3 linked regions of the Sus scrofa genome follow. The protein of the gene in region 2 purifies or fractionates together with the protein of the main gene of each other region. This does not show direct contact. Links are inferred from orthologs where the notes say so. Each region holds a gene or a part of one and is shown on either strand. Other genes may lie near its edges.

The links.
Region 1: the proteins of DCP1A (region 2) and PNRC1 purify together in Homo sapiens (affinity purification with mass spectrometry; 3 studies listed by BioGRID and IntAct, with this or other methods). This does not show direct contact. The link is inferred for Sus scrofa from reciprocal best matches to the Homo sapiens genes DCP1A and PNRC1.
Region 3: the proteins of DCP1A (region 2) and BAG4 purify together in Homo sapiens (affinity purification with mass spectrometry; 4 studies listed by BioGRID and IntAct, counting the BioPlex papers as one, with this or other methods). This does not show direct contact. The link is inferred for Sus scrofa from reciprocal best matches to the Homo sapiens genes DCP1A and BAG4.

Annotation. Positions count from the first base shown.
Region 1 is NC_010443.5:57,126,718-57,131,275, reverse strand, and holds the start of PNRC1 (proline-rich nuclear receptor coactivator 1), read right to left. Parts: upstream 3,177-4,558; 5' UTR 2,849-3,176; coding exon 2,309-2,848; intron 297-2,308; coding exon 1-296. UniProt on the Homo sapiens protein: Nuclear receptor coactivator. May play a role in signal transduction.
Region 2 is NC_010455.5:35,422,954-35,427,671, forward strand, and holds the start of DCP1A (mRNA-decapping enzyme 1A), read right to left. Parts: upstream 2,893-4,718; 5' UTR 2,256-2,892; coding exon 2,231-2,255; intron 1-2,230. UniProt on the Homo sapiens protein: Necessary for the degradation of mRNAs, both in normal mRNA turnover and in nonsense-mediated mRNA decay. Removes the 7-methyl guanine cap structure from mRNA molecules, yielding a 5'-phosphorylated mRNA fragment and 7m-GDP.
Region 3 is NC_010457.5:48,345,635-48,350,219, forward strand, and holds the start of BAG4 (BAG family molecular chaperone regulator 4), read right to left. Parts: upstream 3,177-4,585; 5' UTR 2,872-3,176; coding exon 2,602-2,871; intron 1-2,601. Other genes in the region: U6 snRNA-associated Sm-like protein LSm1, read left to right, coding at 3,415-3,460. UniProt on the Homo sapiens protein: Inhibits the chaperone activity of HSP70/HSC70 by promoting substrate release. Prevents constitutive TNFRSF1A signaling. Negative regulator of PRKN translocation to damaged mitochondria.

The DNA.
Region 1 (4,558 bases), on a different chromosome or scaffold from region 2:
TAATTTTCCTTTTGACTCATTTCAGTTAGAAATGCTGATTTCTTCAAATGCTTATGTTTAATGTTCTCAGAATTTTTTAAAGGCTTTTTTTCCTGCTTCTGAATTATATCAGATGAAACAGAATCCTGCCAAAAGTTATTTTCATTTCTTTTTGCAGAGGTGATCTTGGTTAGTGGTAAGTTATATTTGCTTTTCTGTCTGTTTATCTTTGGTTGTTCACACAAGTGTATACCATGAACAAGCTGGCCGTGGGGAATGGCAATTTTCTCCGATTTTCCCATCTTTGATTTTAAAACCTACAAAGACAAGGAATATAAAAGTGAATATAGTCTCATGATAAAATCAGACATGAACCTCACCATTTATCTAATATATTTTCTTTAAAAAAATCCCCCTGGACTTTAGTTCAATGTCTTGATTAAATGTGCTTGTGGCACTTATCATTGGATGTCCAAATATGCAGGTATCTAGTTTTACCACTAAAAATAGTTCATCATCGTTACCAGTATGCAGTGTAAGAGCTGATTCTAAAATGTTAAAGACAAAAAAACCCCAAAGTAACCAAGTCCACCTTTCTATACAGAGAAGTAATCTTTCAAACATGTATGCTGACCTCTTCCTAAACAAATATCAGCATTTTTACAGTAGGATGTTGCCAAGGGAAAAATTTTCAAATGCTTTGGTTGATGAAAAACTATAATAGAGACACAATTCACCTTTTAAGATCGGTACTAAAGATGATTTCAGAATAAAAATTTGATTAGCAAGAGCTAGTGAGGAAGTATTTTGATAATGGTTACTAAGTACATACACAAAAATTATCTCCCAGTTTCTGAAAAAATTTTTTTCGGAAATATAAATACTAAAATACCACCTTTTATCATCTTGTCCAGTTATACACATAATACATAGAAGAAAACAGTTTCTGCTTGCCCCCTCCTTTCTAATTTAACAACTGCTTTAACAACTTTACTGCATTAATTCCAACGACTTTTCTAACTCAAGCGATCCTTATGGGAAGCTATGAGGGGATGGGATGGAAAAATAAGGTAATCTATTAGATCACTGCCCTTTCAACACTTATATTGCGGTAGGGAAGCAGGACACAACTACAGAAAGCGAAGCACAAGGTAACATCCACGTTAACAAGGGTAAGTGCTGACAGAACTCCCTGGTTTTAACACTGTTCTGAAAAAGAAATCTTAACTAGTAAACAAGTACAAAAACTCCCTTTTAGATTATCACAAATATTTCAGAAAAACCCTGGAACTGAAAGGAACCTATAATAATTTAAGGAATCACCGTGGATAAGTTTAGTTTTTTCTAAGATCGCAACTAGATAAGCTGCAAATCTCAGAACGATATTCCTTCAACCACTGTCAGTAACTTATTTTCACTATTATGAAAGTTTTAATTTAAAGGTTACTTCAAGTCATTTCAGCGATTTCTTACCGTAAATTATAATCAATTTTATTCTAGTCTAATAGCAAGTGGGCAGTACAACGTCCGTTCAACTGGTAACTTTTCTTTCGAAAAGTTCATCGTTCTGGACACAGGTAATAAAACTACCTTCCACTGAAAAAATCCCAGTACAGTACACAGTGGAATGGTTAAATAAATTCCGCTCATCTGATAGGCTAGCACACAGAACTGATCGCTTCAAAGAGGGAACAACTCTGCCGTCGCACCTGCCAACTTTCAAAGTTGAAAAGTACAGCCAAGTAGGTCGGCCCGACGAGGAGCAGCGCCACCCATGGGGCACCTCACAACTCTGCATAAGACCAACCGGGGGCGGGCGGCCCCCAAGGAGCCCCACGCCGGGAGGGTCTACGCGCGTCCCCCCTCGCCTTGGCAATACCATCTGTCGGGAAGCCGCTGGCAGGCCCACACCCCTCACCCGCTCGCCTCCTTCATGAGCGCCGGAGCGCTCCGCACGTAGCGCGCGCTGACGTCAGCCTCCCGCGGGCCGTCTCGCTCCCCCTCGCGCCCCGAACGCCGAAACCCCCTGGAACGCCGCCAGCTTTCTAAATCCGGGCTGTTGCCGGGGCGCAGCGGCTCTTGTCATTGGCCGGCTCCTCGCAGCCAATCAGCAGCGCCAGCGCAGGCCTCCCCCTCCCCCTTCTCCCCCCCAGCAAGAACAGAGCGGGCGTCACGGAAACTTCCCTCCCGAGTAAACAGCCGCCCTCGCCCCTCACCCCGGCCCCTCCTTCCCGGCCACTCAGCGCAGGGCCCCAAGCCTCCGGTCCCGGGTCCGGCCGTCTTGGGGCCGGAGTGCCAACGGTCCCCACGTTCCCCTCGCGGCCCTCACCTCTCTTCTGAACGAGGGCTGGCCGGGCGCCGCGGGCGGCCGCGGGCCAAGGAAAAGGCTCGCTTCTTCAGTTCGGGTTGCGGTTGCAGGAGCCGAGGCCCAGGCGGCGGCCTGGTCCGGGACTTGCTGCTCTCCACTGTGGCCCGTCGCGGGGCTCCGCACGCCTTCCAGGCTCGGCCGGTGCTGCTGGTACTGGTGGAAGCGGCTGGGAAGCTGCCCCGACGGGCTGGCCCGCACCTTCTTCTTTCGCCGCTTCTTTGGTGCTGCGCGAGGGGTGCCCCCCGTTGAGGCGAGGCTGCAGTTGGGCAGAGGCGCTGGGGCGCGAGGCTGAGGGGTCAGACAGGGACCGTCTCCCCCTAAAAAGTGAGGGAGAAAGAGGGTGGGGGGCAGCGCCCTGGGGTCCGGGATCCGGGGTAAAGGCGGCGGAGCCGTGCTCACCATCGGGAGGGCCCCAAAGTAACCGCGGGCGGAAAAGCCCATGGGCGCCAGGCGGCTGCCCAGAACAAGCGGCTCCCGCTGGGGGACAGAAACGACGGTCATAGCGGCTCAGCAGGAGTAGAAGAAGGAAGTGCGGCCAGAGATCACAGGGCGGCGAAGGCTGCTGCTAGGTAAGCCTGTGAGAAGCGCGGACCATGGTTCGGGCGGTGGCGGCGCAGCAACAAATACCCTCAGCCTCCGCTCGGAGTGTTGTTATCAGAAACTCCGCCCTGTGCCCGCCCACCTCCCTGTGAGAGCCCAATAAGAATGCGACCTGGAAGGCCACGCCCCTCCGGCTCCTCCTCCACCGCCTCCGAGAGACACACACAAACAACCCTCTTGCTGCAGCCGGGCACAAAGAGCGAGCACTGCGCAGGCGCTGCCAACGGGCTCTTTCGGGAAGAGTCGGTCCCGCGAACAATGAAGTTCCGTTTCAGCCGCACCTGCCCCACCTCCCCGCTCTTCTCGTTTCTCACCTCCCCGCCTCTCCCTGAAGGCTTTGGTCAGACTACTAGAGCTCGGCTAAATCTAGGGGTGGGGTTGGGATAGGGGCGGGAGGCAGGGAGTGAAAAAATCCGGTAGAGTCAGGCCAGTGGGTGCCTCCTCGGCCACTGACCTTGGGGAAGTAGTATTTTCAAGCCGAATGTAACAGCATTATTACCATTGGCTTTTTTTTTTTTTTTTTTAACATTTCAAAGTACATTGCAGGAGTTCATTCTTTGTAGTCGGAAAGAAAAGCAGTCCACGTTTAAATTACATTTGATGAAGTGTGGCTCACTTTTTTTTTTTTAAATCGGGTGAGAAACGCTGCTCAATAGCTGTGGTAGTTGGAGTAAGAAGGGAGTGACTTACTCATTGAAATTGGACGCTTAATGTATAGTAAGTTCTGTATAAATCCATGGGACTTTGGGACAGCAAAAAAGTGCCTAATACTGAGGAGGAAGCAGAGGAAGAGGCTTGTGTCTCAAAGGAAGAAAGTGAAACAGCTCTGCAACATTGCAGTATGCTTTGCTAGCTCTTGTGTTGATGAGAATCCCACTCTCATCATCTCCCCGCACTGTGTTCAGACACAAAAAGAACTGTGGCTATTTATCAAGCCCTTATGTGCTACCAACTGTTCTTTACTTAAATTACCTCATTTGAATCTCAAAACTAACTCTAAGGAATAGGTACTGTATATTTTATCACCAGTTTACAGGAGAGAAAACAGGTTTAGAGAAGCAAAAGTTTTACTTGCCAGAAGTCGTACAGTAAGCTAATAGCGGAGTCAACTCCAATCCAGGTCTGGCAACACTAACGTGGTTTTGTTTGCTTGTTTTTGCTTCTTAGGGCCCCACCTGTGGCATACAAGAAGTTCCCAGGTTAGTAGTAGTCAGAGCTACAGCTGCAGGCCCACACCACAGCCACAGCAATATTGGATCTCAGCGGCATCTGTGACCTACACCACAGATAATGGGCAGAGCTGGATCCTTAACCCATTGTGCGAGGTCAGGGATCAAACATGCATCCTCATGGATACTAGTTGGGTTTGTAACCCAATGAACCACAGCGGAAACTCCCTGGAAAGACTAGCTTTAACATCATCTGTACTACCTACCACACTAGATTGTGGGTTTTTAGAACACAGGATACTATTAAACTTCTCTGTATCCTACCAGCCTTTTTTTTCAGCTTTATAGTGCTTGGTAAGTGTTTTATGATTGATAATAGAGTTGGCTAGAGGGACTGTCCAGAACAACACTTCCCAATGACTTTATATAAACTTTTTTGTTT
Region 2 (4,718 bases):
CTGTAGCCACCAGCCTACGCCACAGCCACAGCAGTGCCAGATCTGATCTGCATCTGCAACCTACACTACAGCTCACGGCAATGCCGGATCCTTAACCCATTGAGTGAGGCTAGGGATCAAACCTGCAATCTCATGGTTCCTAGTCAGATTCATTTCCACTGCGCCACGACGGGAACTCCCATTGAATCTTTTGATGCACAAATGTAGTATATCTCTCCATTTATTTAGGTTCTGATTTTTTTAAAATTCAGTATTTTGTAATTTTCAGTACACCTGTACATGTTTTGTTATGTTTACACCTAAGTATTTAATTTTCCCTGTACAATTTATAAACGGTTACTACCTTTAACTTGGGGTTTCCACAGGTTCATTATAAGTATGTATAAGTGTGATTTATTTTTGTGTGTTGATCTTGTATCTCCAGACCTTTCCAAACTCACTTATTAGTTGTAGGAGTTTGTACAGAGACATTCATGTCATCTGTGGACAGAGACAGTTTTATTTCTTCTTTTCCAATCTGTAGGCCTATTCTCTTTTCCCCTTATTACACTGGCTAGAACTTTCAGTGCTATGTTGAATAGCAGTAATGAGAATAGATTTCCTTGCTTTATTTTCAATATTAGAGGGAAAACATTCACCCTTTCCTTTATAATGTGGTAGATATACTGACTGATTTTTAATACTGAACCACCTTTGCAGAGCTGGAATAAAGCCCATTTGTTCATAATTTATATTTCTTTTCTATATATTGTTGGCTTTGCTATTATCTGGTTAAGGATTTTTTTTTAAAGTTCATTAGAGATACTGGTTTGTAGTTTTCTTTTTTGTACTTTCTTGTTTTGAGTATTAAAGTAAACGTTGGTCTTACAGAATAAGTTGAGAAGTGTTTCCCCTTTTCTGTTTTCTGGAAGAAACTGTAAAATTAGCATTAAAGAATCTTTGAATTCTCCAGTAAAATCATCTGGGCCTGGGGATTTCTTTTTCGGAAACTTTAAAATTAGGAATTCAATTTATTTCATGGCAATAGGACTATTTATTTATGTTATCTATTTTATCTTGGTTTTGTAGTTTGTTGTCTTCAAGGAATTGGTCCATTTCTTCTAAATGGTCACGTGTATGAGTGTAAAGTTATTGATAGCATTCTCCTATTACAGAGGATGTGTGGATGATATTGGAGGCAGATATGGTAGGGGCTCCCTGGAGAAAGAGAAACAGGCATGGCTTTCTTGACAGAAGAGAAACAATTTTTGGCCTACGACATTTTGTGATCTAAGCCTGGTCACAATGCTTACCCTTGAACAGGTCCCAGTAATTAATGATCTTAAAGGAACAAAAGAATGCAGAAACAAATTATTATCAGGTAGGAGAAGTAACGATAGCAAAGATAATGTAGCGGTTGTAAAGGCTCCCAGTTCTATTTCAACGGTAAAGACTAGCCTGAAGTGTTCAACCACCAGATCAGCTGGAGTCTAAGGGAGGAGTATGTTGACATTTTCTGGCCCTTATAACTTCAATCAACTAACACTTGGATTCTGTGGACCACCCAAGCTCCTTAATGAATACGCATGTATGCTTAACTTGAAACTCCCTCATCTTTGCTGCTTGGGGAGACCCTGTTTTGTGAAAGATCCCATGTTCCCTATACTTGCTGCAAGTAATAATAAACCCTTCCTTCTCATGATCTTTAGCTTGGTTATGTCTTTTGGCTTGACACAAACTAAGAGGCAAATCTACTTTTCAGGTAACTACATCCACTATTCCACTCCTGATATTGATAATCTATGTCATCTTTTTACTTTTATTAGTCTTTATTAAAGGTTTATCAACTTTATTGACTTTTTCAAATAATCAACTTTTTGTCTCATTCATTTTTCTTTGTTTTCATCGTCTTAATGTCATTGATTTCTGCTCTACTCTTTGTTCTTTCCTTACTTCTGCATGCTTTGAGTTAGTTTATTTTTTTCTTCTTTTTCTAATTTCTTGAGGTGGGAATTTAGTAGGCCCTTAGCCAGTGTTGCTTGAAAGGATGGGAGGAGTTTTCAATGGCTAGGCCACCTGGAGTACCTTCACTGGTGAAGGGAGATAAAGACTGCTTCCTAGGCCAGGTGGTTGTAATGTGGCTCCTTCCCTACACCCACCTCCTTCTCATGAAAAGGAGGGAAAATATTACCTCAGTGGCTATTTATTGTCAGTAAGGTTTAAATCCTTCGTGCAGTCTTGTTGGGCTCACCTGGTACTGCTGGCAGGGCTCCCATTCGATCTAGGAGAGGAACAAGCCTGTATGAGGCACCTTCCTTTGCTATGTTGGAGGTCAAGAAACACTATGCCTGGGTCCCCTTCTTCTGTTGAAGGCTTGTAAGACAAGCTGCTGTTGGGTTGTTCTGTCAGTTCTGGGTCCCGAACCCGATCTTCTTCTTTCTACCTTTTAGAATTTTCCTGATTGTCCTTTTGTTACTTCTGATTTTTAGAATTGTATTTAATAGGGGAGAAGGAAAGACAAATTTATGCCATTTTGTTTGGGTCAGAAGTTCCATTATGTACTTTTATGGATAGAAAACCGAGGCTCATGGAAAGACTGACATTAATAAATTAGAGAAAAATAGTCTTATAACTAGAACCAGAACTCATGTCTTCTCACTCTAAGCCAGTATCCTTCCACTACATACTCAATGCCTCATTAGTTGAAATAACACAAAATATTCTGTAGAAAGTAAAGTAAACAAGTTTCAATTACTCTTGAGGACTAAAACACAAAAAAGAATCAAGCATAAATAATCGAACAAGGTAAAAATTACATTCTAAAAGAATGACAATACAGAAAATACAAATGCTAGCAGAAGAAACTTTAAAAATCCTTTGAGTTCCTGCTGTTGCTCAGTGGGTTAAGAACGTGACTAAGGTCTATGAGGATTTGGGTTCCATCCCTGGTCTTGCTCAGTGGGTTACGGATTCAGCGTTGCCATAAGCTGCAGTGTAGGTTGGCAGCTGCAACTCCAATTCAACCCCTAGCCTGGAAACTTCCATATGCCATGGGTGTGGCCCTAAAAAAAAAAAAAAAAGACCAAAAAAAAAAATTCTTTTTCTATAACTATGATTTGAATTGCATCAATACACATTAACATATACTCACACTACCAATATACATTAATTTAGAAAGCCACCTTTTCATTTTTAAAAGTTTTATAGTAGTTGATCTACAATGTTTTGAAAATTTCTGCTATACAACAAAACAATACAGTTATACATATACATACATCCATTCTTTTCAGATTCTTTTCCCATATAGATTATCACAGAATATTGGGTAGAGTTCACTGTGCTATATAGCAGGTCTCTGTTGGCCAGCTGTTTAATATACCACAGTGTGCATATGTCAATTCCAAACCCCCAGCACATCCCAACTCACCCCACCTGTCCCCTTTGATAACTGTAAGTTTATTTTCAAAGTCTGTGGGTCTGTTTCTGTTCTGCAAATAAGTTCATTTGTATTATTTAAAAATTTTTTAATTTTTATTAATTTTTGCTTTTTAGGGCCACACCCGCAGCATATGGAGGTTCCCAGGCTAGGGGTTGAATCAGAGCTACAACTGCCAGCCTACACCACAGCCACAGCAACGTGGAATCAGAGCCAAGTCTGTGACCTACATCACAGCTCATGGCAATGCCGGATCCTTAATCCACTGAGTGAGGCCAGGGATTGAATCTGCAACTTCATGGTTCCTAGTAGGATTCATTTCCACTGCACCATGATGGGAATTCCTGTATTATTTTTTTTAGATTTCACATATAAGTGATACTATATGATATTTGTCACTGTTAATAAAAGCTTTTTTTTTTTTTAAAAGAAAATTAAGTGACCCCTAGCCTGGGAACCTCCATATGTCACAGTCATGGCCTTAAAAAAGATAAAAAAAAAAAAAAAAAAAAAAAAAAGGAAAGAAAGAAAGAAAGAAAATTAAGGTACAGGAGTTCTCATTGTGGCTCAGTGATAATGAACCCAACCAGTATCCATGAGGATGAGGGTTTGATCCATGGCCCTGCTCATGGATAAGGATCCAGCATTGCTGTGAGCTGTGGTATAGGTCACAGACAAGGCTCGGATCCTCCATTGCTATGGCTAACAACTGCATCTCCGATTTGACCCCTAGCCTGGGAACGTCCATATGCTGCAGATGTGGCCCTAAAAAGCAAAAAAAAAAAAAAAAAGAAAAAAAAGAAAAGAAAAGAAAATTAAGGTACAAATGACATAATATTATATTAGCTTCAGGTGTACAGTCCAACAATTTGATATTTGTATATACTGCAAAATAACCTCAATAAATGCAGTTAACATCCATCACCACGCACAGGTATAAAATTTTTTTTTCTTGTGATGGGAACTTTAAAAAAAATTTCAAATCATAGACTTGGAGAAAAGACTTGTGGCTGCCTGATGGGAGGGGGAGGGAGTGGGAGGGATTGGGAGCTTGGGCTTATCAGACACAACTTAGAATAGATTTACAAGGAGATCCTGCTGAATAGCATTGAGAACTATGTCCAGACACCCATGTTGCAACAGAACAAAGGGTGGGGAAAAAAATGTAATTGTAATGTATACATGTAAGGATAACTTGATCCTCTTGCTGTACATTGGGAAAATAAAAAAAAAATTTCATTATAGTTGATTTACAATGTTCTGTTAATTTCCGCTGTACAGCAAAGTGACCCAGCTATACATA
Region 3 (4,585 bases), on a different chromosome or scaffold from region 2:
ATCTGGTGTTGCCATGAGCTATGGTGTAGGTCACAGACATGGCTTGGATCTGGCATGGCTGTGGCACAGGCCAGCAGCTGTAGCTCCAATTTGACCCCTAGCCTGGAACCTCCATATGCTGCAGTTGCAGCCATTAAAAAAGTAAACATTTTGATTCTGCAAGTCTGGGGCAAGGCCTGAACTACAGCATTTCCGAGAAGCTCCTTGGTGGTGCACATACTGCTGGTTCAAGAATCAAACTACAGTGCTGCAAGTATAGCTAACAATGTAAGAGAAAGAAAACAGAGATTTTCTCTTTTTCACTCCTGCCATATTTAAATACATTAATATAGAGTCAAGTCTTTGCAGTTATTCACTGCAATATCATCTCAATATATCCAATTCTGTGAAGCAATGCTTCTCAGCCACAAACGTGCATATGAATCACCTGAGGATCTTATTAAACTGGAGCAGCAGGAAGTATGGAGCAGGAGAGATTCTGCATTTCTAACTGCCTCAGATCAACACTGAAGCTTCTGGTACATGGACTACACTTTTTGAAGAGTAAGATGTCTTCCGGGCTCAGAGTGTTAAGAACCTGACTAGTATCTATGAGGATGCAGGTTTGATCCCTAGCCTTGCTCAATGAGTTAAGGATCTGATGTTGCTGTGGCTGTGGTGTAGACTGGCAGCTGAAGCTCAATTTTGACCTCTAGCCTGGGAACTTCCATATGCTGCAAGTGCAGCCATTTGAGAAAAACAAAGAAAGAAATCATCATCCTATACTTTTCAAGTTTCAGAAACATCAACCTGAAAGATAAACTCCTGCAACGGTTGACAAATGCCCAATCACATTCCGGCCGTATTCCTGACCGCTCCAGCATTACCTAGCCTGTGTGCACACCTGTTCTCCCTTTAAACTCCCTGCCCAGTACTAAGATCTTAACTTCTCTAACCTTAACCCAAAAAAAACCTTTGTTTTGACTACACAGCAAGCCCAGGTGGAATCATCAGCTTAGTGGTTCTCTCCTCCTCCCCCACAAGTGAGCCTAGGTCTAGTCTGCATACCTATTAGCCAAGCATTTCCTCACTCTCCTCTGTCGGGACTGAAGTTCCCTCAGGCTGCTTATTCTAGATTCAGATAGAGAAATTATGGGCCTTTCTTTGTAATTAACCTCTCACTACGTTTTTTTTTATGATACAACTTTTTAAAAGAAATAACATGACATCAAACCCAGCCTTTTAAAGTGTACAATTCAATGTTTTTTTTTAATATTCAGAGCTGTGCAATCTTCATTTACAATCTAATTCCAAAATATTTTCATCATCCCCAAAAGAAACCCCATACCCTTTAACTATCTTCCCCAATGTCTCCAGGCCTCCAACCCCTGACAATGACATATATTTGTACAGACTTGCCCATTCTGGATATTTCATATAAATGGAATCACACAATGTTTAATGTTTGTCTTCGTTCATGTAGCATATTTTCAAGGTTCATCCATGTTGTAGAAGGTACTTCATTTCTTCCCATTTCTTCCCATTCATTGTATGAATATGTCAGATTTTATCTATCCATCAGTTGATGGGCATTTGGAATATTTTCCCTTTTGGCTATTATGAATAATGCTACTATGAATCTCACGTGTACAAGTTTATACGTGGACATGTTTTTAGTTCTCTTGGGTGTATAACAAGGAGCAGACTTGCTGAGTAAGATCCCAACAGTATGCTTAACGTTTTGAGGGACTTCCAAACTGTTTTCCAAAGCACTGAACCATTTTATGTTCCCACCAGCAATGTATGGGAATTTCATTATTACATTTTCAACCAATGAGGATGTTACATTTCCTGAAGAAAAGGATAGGAGTGCCCCCACCAGATAACGATTAATTCTCTGCGAAGCATACTGCATAACAAAACAACTGTATTTCCGCACGACTACAAGGAACAAGACATTATAGGTTCAAATATACTGAGTGAGTTAACCCTTCACGGTCAACGGTTCTTTCATCGTAAAACAGAGAAGATGTGATGACATTTACGCGGCAGTCACCCTTAAGATGAAATAAAACAATCCACGGAAAGCTGCTTTCCAACATTGATTATGCGTGATTCAATGTCGGGCAAAGCGTTAAAAGGGCAAAGAGCTAAACGCCCAGATCCCTCCCCTTCCTTCACGTTCCTTCCCAGGGGGAGGGGTTGCTAAGGGACGGAGGGTGCTGCAGCCACCTCCCTTCTTGGGGAGGGCCGACCTGATGAGCCACGCAGGATAAATTGTCAGGACTCGAAAAGCAGACCCGGATCCCTCCAGCCCAACACCGTTCCCAGGCGAGATTCGCAGCCCGCTACTCAGCTCAGCAGGTCAGCGCAGGATCTTTTTCCCCTTTTTCATGCTAAGACATTTACTATGGTTGAAGTAAAAAAGAGGCAAAGAGAAAACAAGCATAGCCCCCACCTACGATCCTAGTTTCTGTCTCTCCACCCCCCCATAAGGAAAACACATGAAACCCAATTCATTACGAACTCTTGGAGGTGTATCAAACCCAATAACCCTCACCTCCAAAGACTCCCCTATTGCCGTCCCCTACCCCACCCCGGGACAGACAGCGCAAAGCTTACCTGGTGGCTTCCTCCAGCTCGACCTGGCTCCGACCAGACGCCTCCAGAGGGATAGTAGCCATCTCCTCCTCCCCCTTCTCCCGGCCAGGTGGTCTCAGCCTGGCCGCCCCCGCGTACCCGCCAAGAAACAGGAGGCTGGGGAGGTTCGGGGCGGGGAGGATATATGGGCGGAGGGGGGTGCACGGGCACATCTCCACCCCCAGGCCCGTAGTAGCGGCCATAAGACGGACCGTCACCGGGGCCGTAGCCCGAGCGCCTCAAGGCCGACATGGGCTCCACTGCCCCCAAGTGCTTCCCGCCCCCCACGGCCGGTCCATTGCGCAGACGCCAGCCGGAGAACGCAAGTGGACCGCAGGGAAGGGGGTCGGCCAGCAACAGCCAATCCCAGGCCGGGTCCCGCCCCCTCGGCCTCAGATTCTTGAGAGTTGAAGGACTGAGGTCGGTGACTCTGGGGTCTAGGAAGCAGGACAGCAAGGGGCGCCACCGTGTACCTTAAAAGGGAGAACGCATTTCCCCACTACGTATCCAATCTAGGTTTCTCTTCCCCTCTTGTCAAGGACGTGGAAAGGGTGCCTCGGGACCTCACTACGGTCCCGCCTCTTCCTGAGCACCGGCACGTGATGCCGGAAGTGGGTGGGAGTAATATGGCGACGTTTCCGGCAGGCCCCGGCGGCTGAAAGCCGGGCCGGAGGTGCTACTCTGGGTCCGGGTTCTTGTCCCGGTGCCGCCGAGGCGGCGACTGCGGTAGGAAGAAGGAAGTGTTGGACGAGTTGGCCCACCACCGCTATACGTTGCGCCTCATTTCAACTCAAAATGAACTATATGCCCGGCACCGCTAGCCTCATCGAGGACATCGACAGTGAGTAGTTCGGCTCCTCCGAGTGAAGTCTGGGGTGAGACTCTTCCTGCCGGGAGGATGCTTTTTGGAGGCAGGTCCTAGAATGAGTCCGGGCCAGGGGGCGGTGTCTTTTTAGTGCTGTTCTGGACGTGCGGCGTTAGCGTCCTTTGCAGGAGGGAGGAGCCTTGTGACACGCTGTTTGCCCGCCTCCTACCTGTATCCTATCTCTTACAGCCTGCACCAGTCCTCCGGCAAGCTGTCGAATCCATTTCTGCTTTTCAGGGATGCGGCTGCTGAGGCCCAAACATGAAAGTTGCCGCCTCCCGGGCCCATCATCTCCCACCTGCGGGATTTCGAGTCCCAGGTGGTTACTGGTGGATGGATGAGAATTCTTAAGGAAGGGATGCATCGAGAAACGAAAATACGAATACAACAGTAATTGGACTTAATTAGCACTAAGCATAGGCTTTATGCTGCGTCGCCTTTTGCAGTCTTCTTTTACCGTTGAGGGTCTTTAGATTTTCAGATTATGATAGTAGAGACTACTGCCAGACAAGGCTTGACTTTTCCAGAAGGACCAAAAACTTGTTTTTTTCTTGTTAGACAGTTTTCTTTGGTTTTTATTTAGACGACCTACCTTATTCCTAGTCACCATCCTGAAGAGAAGTTTAGTCCTCTATAGCTGTCCTGTCTTTTCCAGACTCTCATTCGTGGATTATTCCTCAAGCAAATTTTAATAAATTGTTTCAGTCCTGTGATCTGTCTTGTTTTGCTTTTTAGGGCGGCACCATGGCATGTGGAAGTTCCCAGGCTAGGGGTCGAATCAGAGCTGTAGCTGCTGGCCTATGCGACAGCAACTCTGGGTCCCAGCCACGTCTGTGACCTACACCACAGCTCATCGCACCACCAGATCGTTAACCCACTGATCAAGGATCGAACCTGAGTTTTCATGGATACTAGTTGGTTTCATTACTGCTGAGCCACAATGGGAACTCCGTCTCATTAACTTGTAGTAGTTGCAAAACAGTTTGCATACAGCTCCAAACAAGTTACAACAATCTCTACAGTTACTAAGTATGCAAATTAAAGAATGAGTTTATGATTATATTCTCTATCATCTGAAATTATTTTTAAAATCCAAATTAG